2 linked regions of the Macaca mulatta genome follow. The protein of the gene in region 1 purifies or fractionates together with the protein of each later gene. This does not show direct contact. Links are inferred from orthologs where the notes say so. Each region holds a gene or a part of one and is shown on either strand. Other genes may lie near its edges. The genes, in order: IRF7 and TRIM21.

Evidence for each region.
Region 2: the proteins of IRF7 (region 1) and TRIM21 purify together in Homo sapiens (affinity purification with mass spectrometry; 3 studies listed by BioGRID, with this or other methods). This does not show direct contact. The link is inferred for Macaca mulatta from reciprocal best matches to the Homo sapiens genes IRF7 and TRIM21.

Annotation. Positions count from the first base shown.
Region 1 is NC_133419.1:506,554-511,071, reverse strand, and holds IRF7 (interferon regulatory factor 7), read left to right. Parts: upstream 1-1,618; coding exon 1,619-1,840; intron 1,841-1,923; coding exon 1,924-2,134; intron 2,135-2,690; coding exon 2,691-2,749; intron 2,750-2,825; coding exon 2,826-3,051; intron 3,052-3,200; coding exon 3,201-3,287; intron 3,288-3,372; coding exon 3,373-3,453; intron 3,454-3,525; coding exon 3,526-3,915; intron 3,916-4,003; coding exon 4,004-4,122; intron 4,123-4,207; coding exon 4,208-4,363; 3' UTR 4,364-4,394; downstream 4,395-4,518.
Region 2 is NC_133419.1:71,426,428-71,431,024, forward strand, and holds the start of TRIM21 (E3 ubiquitin-protein ligase TRIM21), read left to right. Parts: upstream 1-1,648; 5' UTR 1,649-1,658; intron 1,659-4,597. UniProt on the Homo sapiens protein: E3 ubiquitin-protein ligase whose activity is dependent on E2 enzymes, UBE2D1, UBE2D2, UBE2E1 and UBE2E2.

The sequences.
Region 1 (4,518 bases):
CAAAAAAAGGAACCCAAACGGTGCAGCTGCCCCTTTTTAGAGGCACATCCACCTCCCCTTACCCACTTCCCTTTTTTGAGACTCAGTCATGCTCTGTCCCCTGGGCTGGAGTGGAGTGGCTCCATCTCAGCTCACTGCAGCCTCGACCTCCTGGGCTCAAGTGATTCTCCCGCCTCAGCCTCCCAAGTACCTGTAACTACAGGCCTGCGCCACCACGCCCGGCTGATTTTTGTATTTTTAGTAGAGACTGGGTTTCGTCACGTTTGCCAGGCTGGTCTCGAACTCCTGACCTCAAGTGATCGGCTGAGGCGGGCGGATCACGAGGTTAGGAGATCGAGACCATCCTGGCTAACACGGTGAAACCCCGTCTCTACTAAAAATACAAAAAATTAGTCGGGCGAGGTGGCGGGCGCCTGTGGTCCCAGCTACTCGGGAGGCTGAGGCAGGAGAATGGCGGGAACCCGGGAGGCGGAGCTTGCAGTGAGCCGACATCCGGCCACTGCACTCCAGCCTGGACGGCAGAGCGAGACTCCACCTCAAAAAAAAAAAAAAAGAAAGAAAGAAAAAAAAAAAGCACAACAAGAAGGGCCTGGTTTTGCCTCGGGTCCGGTTTCGCTTACGTTTGGGGGAGTCCCCGCCTTATCCCACTGTGTCCCCCACCTCCGATGACTGCCGGCGCCCCGGCCCCAGGCGTGTAGGGACTACTTCCCAGAGAAGCGGCTGGACCCTGCAGGGCCGAGCCACACAGGCAGACAGGGCCCACCGCTGCCCCCTCGCCGCCACTCCCTACTCCGCGCTGCCCCGGACGGGGTTCCGCTGGTCGCATTCGAGAGCAGGAACTGGCCGCGCGCGCCCTTCCCGGAAACGCCCGCCTGGTCACGTGACCTCCTTGGCTGCACCTGCAGCTCTTTGGGCCCCGCCCCCGGCCCGGACACCATAAAAGCGCCGGCCCTCCGCTTCTCCGCGATAAGAAACCTCCCGCCCCGGCGACTGTGGCACCCAGGTACTCGGGACCCCGGACCCACGCGGTGCAGGTCCGGGAGTGAGAGACTCACCGGGAGGGGTAGAGCCAAGGGCTGGGGGAGCCTGATGGATGAGGGTCGGGAGGTGAGGGAGGCGGAGGCGGGGGCGGGGCTCTGCGGCGATGAGAACCGGACGGAGATGGGATCGGGGAGGGTGGAAGCGCCACTGTTTTAAGTTTCGCTTTCTCGGAAGCCTGGCCCGCCCCCGACGTGGCTTTTCCCGTCTCCGCAGGGTCCGGCCTGCACCGGCCCGGCAGGCCTGGACACTGGTTCAACACCTGTGACTTCACGTGTGCGCGCCAGCCATACCTGCAGTCACACCTGTAGCCCCCTCTGCCAAGAGATCCACACCGAGGCAGCGTCGGTGGCTACAAGCCCTCAGTCCACACCTGTGACCCCCACCACCTGTGACACCTGGCCACACCTGTGGACACCTGTGACACCTGGCCACACGACCTGTGGCCGCGGCCTGGCGTCTGCAGTGACAGGAGCCCTTACCTCCCCTGTTGTAACACCTGACCGCCACCCAACTGCCCCTGCAGAGGGAGCAATGGCCTTGGCTCCTGAGAGGTAAGAGCCCGGCCCACCTTCTCCAGATGCCCGTCCCCGAGCGCCCTGCAGCCAGCCCTGACTCTCCGCGGCCGGGCACCCGCAGGGCGGCCCCACGCGTGCTGTTCGGAGAGTGGCTCCTTGGAGAGATCAGCAGCGGCTGCTATGAGGGGCTGCAGTGGCTGGACGAGGCCCGCACCTGCTTCCGCGTGCCCTGGAAGCACTTCGCGCGCAAGGACCTGAGCGAGGCTGACGCGCGCATCTTCAAGGTGGGACCCCGGCCCCGTCCCGGGTGGGAGGACCCGCCTAGGACCCCGCGGGCCCAGCCCACGTGTTCTCTCCCCCTCTTCAGGCCTGGGCCGTGGCCCGCGGCAGGTGGCCGCCTAGCAGCAGAGGTGACCCGCCGCCCCCCGAGGCTGAGGCTGCGGAGCGCGCCGGCTGGAAAACCAACTTCCGCTGCGCACTGCGCAGCACGCGCCGCTTCGTGATGCTGCGAGATAACTCGGGGGACCCGGCCGACCCGCACAAGGTGTATGCGCTGAGCCCGGAGCTGGGCTGGCGAGGTGAGCGACGCCGGCTGCCAAGCGCGTTGGCATTCGTCCTGCCTGGGGAAAGAACATTCTCTGGGCCGGGCGTGGTGGCTCACGCCTGTAATCCCAGCACTTTGGGAGGCCGAGGTGGGCGGATCACAAGGTCAGGAGATCGAGACCATGGTGAAACCCCGTCTCTACTAAAAATAGAAAAAATTAGCCGGGCGCAGGGGCGGGCGCCTGTAGTCCCAGCTACTCGGGAGGCTGAGGCAGGAGAATGGCGTGAACCCGGGAGGCGGAGCTTGCAGTGAGCCGAGATTGCGCCACTGCACTCCAGCCTGGGCGACAGAGCAAGACTCCGTCTCAAAAAAAAAAAAAAAAAAAAAAAAAAAAAAAGAACATTCTCTGGATCAGAATTGGGTTTTTAGCAGCCGTTCTGGGAGAGGCTGCCAGCAGGCCCAGGACAGTTGGAGCCGCATCCCCACCTCCTTAGGCCGCAGCACAAGGAAGCTGGTGCGGGTTACGCCAGGCTCTTGTTGCGTCTCTCACCCTGGTCTCGGAACCTAACACCTGCCCCATTCTCCCTCAGAAGGCCCAGGCACGGACCAGACTGAGGCAGAGGCCCCCGCGGCTGTCCGGCCACCGCAGGTAGTCTTCTCTCTGCCTGCCTCTCCTCCTGCCAGGCCGCGGAGCTGCTTATGCTGACCCTGACTTTTCCTTACAGGGCAGGCCCCCAGGGCCATTCCTGGCACACAGAGATGCTGGACTCCAAGCCCCAGGCCCCTTCCCTGCCCCAGCTGGTGACAAGGGGGACCTCCTGCTCCAGGCAGTGCAGCAGAGCTGCCTGGCGGACCATCTGCTGACAGCGTCATGGGGGGCAGACCCAGTCCCAGCCCAGGCTCCTGGAGAGGGACAAGAGGGTCTTCCCCTGACTGGGGCCTGTGCTGGAGGTGTGGGCAGTGCCGTGGAGGGGTGTGTGTGTGGGGGGAAAGCATGGGAGGGGCCAGTGCACCTGGATGGACACTTAAGAAGGGGGCTGGGGATTGGGGAGCTGGAGAAGTAGGAAGGGACCACATTCCCACTGACCTCCCCTCCTCAGGTCCAGGGCTCCCTGCTGGGGAGCTGTGCACATGGGCAGTAGAAGCAACCCCTAGCCCCGGGCCCCAGCCCACGGCGCTAATGACAGGTGAGAGGGGTAGGGGTTGGGGGGCCTGGGGCACAGGGAGGGGCTGGGGATGAGGTACCAGCACAGGATTCCCTTCCCGATGCAGGCGAGGCCACGGCCCCAGAGCCCCCGCACCAGGCAGAGCCATACCTGGCACCCTCCCCAAGTGCCTGCACTGTGGTGCAAGGTGAGTGGGTCCTGGGAAGGGGACAGCCTGTCCCTGCCCACCTCTGCCGCTCACAGCTTGGTCTCCACACAGAGCCCAGCCCAGGGGCGCTGGACGTGACCATCATGTACAAGGGCCGCACAGTGCTGCAGAAGGTGGTGGGGCACCCGAGCTGCATGTTCCTGTACGGCCCCCCAGACCCAGCTGTCCGGGCCACAGACCCCCAGCAGGTAGCATTCCCCAGCCCTGCTGAGCTCCCCGACCAGAAGCAGCTGCGCTACACGGAGGAACTGCTGAGGCACGTGGCCCCTGGGCTGCAGCTGGAGCTTCGGGGGCCACAGCTGTGGGCCCGGCGCATGGGCAAGTGCAAGGTGTACTGGGAGGTGGGTGGCCCCCCGGGCTCCGCCAGCCCCTCCACCCCAGCCTGCCTGCTGCCTCGGAACTGCGACACCCCCATCTTTGACTTCAGAGTCTTCTTCCAAGGTCAGTGAGGCTCCTGCCTGGGGGGCTGTCTCCAGGGGCCCCTGGGAGCATGTGTCTGCCAGATACTCAGCAGAGCCCCCTTCTCCAGAGCTGGTGGAATTCCGGGCACGGCAGCGCCGCGGCTCCCCCTGCTATACCATCTACCTGGGCTTCGGGCAGGACCTGTCAGCCAGGAGGCCCAAGGAGAAGAGCCTGGTCCTGGTGAAGGTGAGACCAGAGCCTCAGGGCCTGGGGAGGGGGAGGGGAGGCCACACGCTGGGTCACTGACACACGCCCGATGCCCTCCTGGCAGCTGGAGCCCTGGCTGTGCCGAGTGCACCTGGAGGGCACGCAACGTGAGGGTGTGTCTTCCCTGGATAGCAGCAGCCTCAGCCTCTGTCTGTCCAGCACCAACAGCCTCTATGATGACATTGAGTGCTTGCTCATGGAGCTGGAGCAGCCCGTCTAGAGCCCAGTCTAATAAAGAGAACTCCAGCACACACACTGATGTCTTGGCTGGCGGGGAAATGGGTGCAGGCTGAACACTGGTGAGGCCCAGGGAGGGAGGGGACCTCCCTGCACACCAACTCACTTCTGTCTTCACCACACACATTACATCCAAGC
Region 2 (4,597 bases), about 71 Mb from region 1:
TGAAATTAACAAAGATGGAGATACAATTTACCAAAATCTCTAAGATGCAGCCAAAGCAGTAAGAGAAAAGTTTATAGCCCTAAATACCTTCATCAAGAAGTTGCAAAGGGCTCAAATTAACAATCTAACTTTGTACCTTAAAAGGACTAGGAAAAAAATTCCCAGTGCCAGCAGAAGAAAAACATTAGAGAAAAACCTAATGAAATTAAGATACAAAAAATCCAAACAAAAGGTCGATAAACCCAAGAATTCTTTGGGGGGGAAATAAACCACAACTAATAGACCCTTAACTAGATTGAGATCCAAATAAGCATAATGAAATAACAAAGATAATATTACAACTGATCCCAAAGAAATGCAGAAGATCCCCAGAGACTACTATGAATGTCTTTAAGCACACAAATTAGAAAATTCACAGTGAATCAAGAGATTGAAACCCTGAAAAGCTTCAGAAATTGAATCAGTAGTAAAGAAGTTCTTAATCAATGTTAATGTCCAAGATATGATTTACGGCCCAAAGTGTGGTCTACTTGGTGAATATTCTACTTGGTTTACTTAAAGAATGTATATTCTACTGTTTAAATATATTGTGTGCATTTCGATTGAATACTGTTGGTTAAAATATGTTCAGTGTTAACTGGCTTTTCTATTTTTTCCCCATACCCTTATCTGCTGGATGCATTACTGATGGAGAAAGGCATTAATCTCAACCTTTAATAATGGATTTACCTATTTCTTTCAGTTCAGTTTTTTGCCTCACATATCTTGATCTATTGTGGGTACATACACACTAAAAATTCGTCTTTTCATAGACTTGACATCATTATCATACATTCCCTTTTATGCATAATAATATTGCTTTCTCTGGAGTTTGCTTTGACTGTAGTTGATATAGCTATTCCAGGTTAATTCTTTTAATTTTTAATTTTTGTGTGTACATAGTAGGTACATTTTAATGAGGTAAATAAGATGTTTTGATACAGATATGCAATACATAACACTCACATCATGGAGAGTGGGGTATCCAATCCCTCAAGCATTTATCCTTTGTGTTAAACAATTCAATTACTTAGTTACTTTGAAATGTGCTGTAACATTATTGTTAACTCGTCACCCTGTTGTGCTATTAAATAATAGATTTTATTCATTCTATTTTTTTACCCATTCACCATCCCCACCTTACCCCTCCTGTAACCTTCCCAATGCCACAGATAATTAAGAACATACAATATTTGTTTTTCTGTGCCTGTGCTACTTCACTTAACATTTTCATTTCCATCTATGTTGTTGCAAATGACAGGATCTCATTCTTATACACAATGGACCACTATTCATTTATATGTGCCACATTTATTTTATTCATCTGTTGATGGACACTTAGGTTGCTTCTAAATCTTTGCTATTGTGAACAGTGCTTCAAGAAAAATGCGAATAAAAAAATTTCTTCAATATACTGATATCATTTCTTTTAGATATTGTATTAGTCCATTTTCACACTACCATAAAGAATACCTGAGACTGAGTAATTTATAAAGGAAAGAAGTTTAATCGATTTAAAGTTCTGCGTGGCTGGGGAGGTCTCAGGAAACTTATGGCAGAAGGCAAGGGGGAAGCAGGCACCTTCTTCACAAAGCAGCAGAAGAACAGCAAGCAGGGGGAATTGCCAAATGCTTTTAAATCATCAGATTTCATGAGAACTCCCTCATTATCATGAGAACAGCATGAGGGAAACTGCCCTCATGATCCAACTGCCTCCCACTAGATTCTTCCCCAACATGTGGGGATTACAAATCAAGATGAGATTTGGGTGGAGACACAGCAAAATTACATCAACTATATACCCAGCAGTGGATTGCTGGACCATATGGTAGCTCTATTTTTAGTTTTTTGAAGAACCTCCAAACTGTTCTCCAGAATGGCTGTACTAATTTACATTTCCATCAACAGTGAATGAGGGTTCTCTTTTCTTGACATCCTCGCCAGCATTTGTTAGTGCCTGTCTTTTTTATATAAGACATTTTAACTGGGATGAGATTTATAGTTTTGATTTTCATTGCTCTGATCAGTAATGTTTAATGCCTTTTCATGCCTGTTTGCCATTTGTATGTCATCTTTTGAGAAATGTCTATTCAAATATTTTGCCCTTTTTTGGTTCAGATTACTAGGTTTTATTTCATATAGAGTTTGAGCTCTTTATTCTGGCTATTAATCGGATACATCATTAGATTTTTTTTAAAAGTTTTTCATCTTTTTTGATGTATGCAGTTACATCTATAAACTTCCCTCTTGCTGCTTTCACTATATCCTGTGAATTTTGGTATGTTGTTTCTATTTGTTTCAAGAAACTTTTCAATTTAATTTTTTCGTTGACCACTGGTCATTCAGGAGTGTATTGTTTAATTTCCATGTAGTTGTATAGTTTCCAAAATTCTTATTATTAACTTATAGTTTTAGTTCACTGCTGTCAGAGAAGATGCTTGACATTTGTACTGGTCAGGGTTCTCTAGAGAGACAGAACTAGTAGGATAGGTGTCTATATGAAAGGGAGTCTATTAAGGAGTATTAACTCACATGATCACAAGGTGAAGTCCCACAATAGACTGTCTGCAAGCTGAGGATCAAGGAAACCAGTCCAAGTCCCCAAACCTTAAAAGGAGGGAAACTGACAGTACAGTCTTCAGTCTGTGGCTGAAGGTCCCTAGTAAATCACTGGTGTAAGTCTAAGAGTCCAAAAGCTGAAGAACTTGGAGTCTGATGTTTGAGGGCAGGAAGAAGCACAGGAGAAAGATAATATCTGGAAGACTCAGCAAGTCTGCTTTATTCTAGCCACACTGGCAGTTGATTAGATGGTGCCCACTCACATTGAGAGTGGTTCTGCCTTTCCAAGTCCACTGACTCAAATGTTAATCTCCTTCAGCAACACCCTCACAGACACACCCAGGAACAATACTTTGCATCCTTCAATACAATCAAGTTGACATTTGTTAACTATCACAACATTATTTCAACTTTTTGAATGTGTTAGCACCTGTTTTGTAACCTAACATACGGTCTATCCTGGAATAATCCATGTGCTGAGGAAAAGAATGTGTATTTTGTAGTAACTGCACAAAATGTTCTCTAAATGTTCTCTATTAGGTCCATTTGGTCTATAGTGCAGATCGAGTCCAGTATTTCTTTTTCTGTCTGGAAGATTTGTCCAATGCTGAAAGTGGGGTGAAGTCTCCAGCTATTATTGTATTGGGGCCTACCTTCTTTAGCTCTAATATTTGCTCTATGTATCTGAGTCCTTCAGTGTTGGGTGCATATATATTTAAAATTGTTGTAACCTCTTGCACAACTTGACCTCCTTATCATTACATAGCAACCTTTGCCTCTTAGTTTTCATCTTAATCTACTTTGTCTGATGTAACTATTCTCATTCTTTTTTGGTATCTATTGGCATGGAATATTTCTCTTCATCTCTGTATTTTCAGTCTGTCTTTATAGATGAAGTGTTTCTTCTAGGCGACAGATCACTAGGTCTTGTTTTTATCATCCATTCAGCCACTCTTTTGACTAGAGAGTTTAGTCCATTTATGTTTAATGCTACTGATAAGTAAGGACGTAACTCCATCTTGCTGTTTTCTTGTTGTACAGTCTTCTCTTCCTCCTTTCCTTCCTGTCTCACTTTAGTGAAGGTAATTTTTTTTTTTTGAGGTGGAGTCTTGCTCTGTTGTCCAGGCTGGAGTGCAGTGGCATGATCTTGGCTCACTGCAAACTCTGCTTTACAGGTTCAAGCAGTTCTCCCACCTCAGCCTCCCAAGTAGCTGGGATTACAGGTGCCTGCCACCACGCCTGGCTACTTTTGTATTTTTACTAGACATAGGGTTTCACCATGTTGGCCAGGCTGGTCTCGAATTCCTGACCTCAGGTGATCCACCCACCTTGGCCTCTCACAGTGCTAGGATTACAGCCATGAGCTACCATGCCTGGCCAGGAATTTTTTTTCCTCTGGTAATATGACTAATTTATTGTTTTTTGTGTATCTATTGTAGGATTTTGGTTTGAAAGTACCATGAGGCTTCAAATACTATCTTTACAACCCATTTTTTATGCCAATTATATCTTAATCCTGTTCACATAAATAAGAAAAAACTAAAACTAAAACTTTGTTCCTGTGTTAGTCTGTTCTCACACTGCTAATAAAGACATACCTAAGACTGGGTAACTTATAAGGAAAAAAAAAAGGTTTAATGGACTCACAGTTCCATATGGTTGTAGAAGTCTCACAATCATGATGGAAGGCAAAGAAGGAGCAAAGGCACATTGTACATGGCAGCAGGCAAGAGAGAATGTGCAGGAGAACTGCCCTTTATAAAACCATCAAATCTCATGAGACATTCACTATCACAAGAACAGCATGGGAAAAACCTACCCACCCCCATGATTTAATTACCTCCCACAACATATGGGGATTATGGGAGCTACAATTGAAGATGAGATTTGGGTGGAGACACAGCTAGACCATATAATCTCCTGACTTTTTAATGTTTTATTTCTATCTTATTGTACTATTTCTTAAAGATGTTATTTTTGATCATCTTTTAGTCCTTCT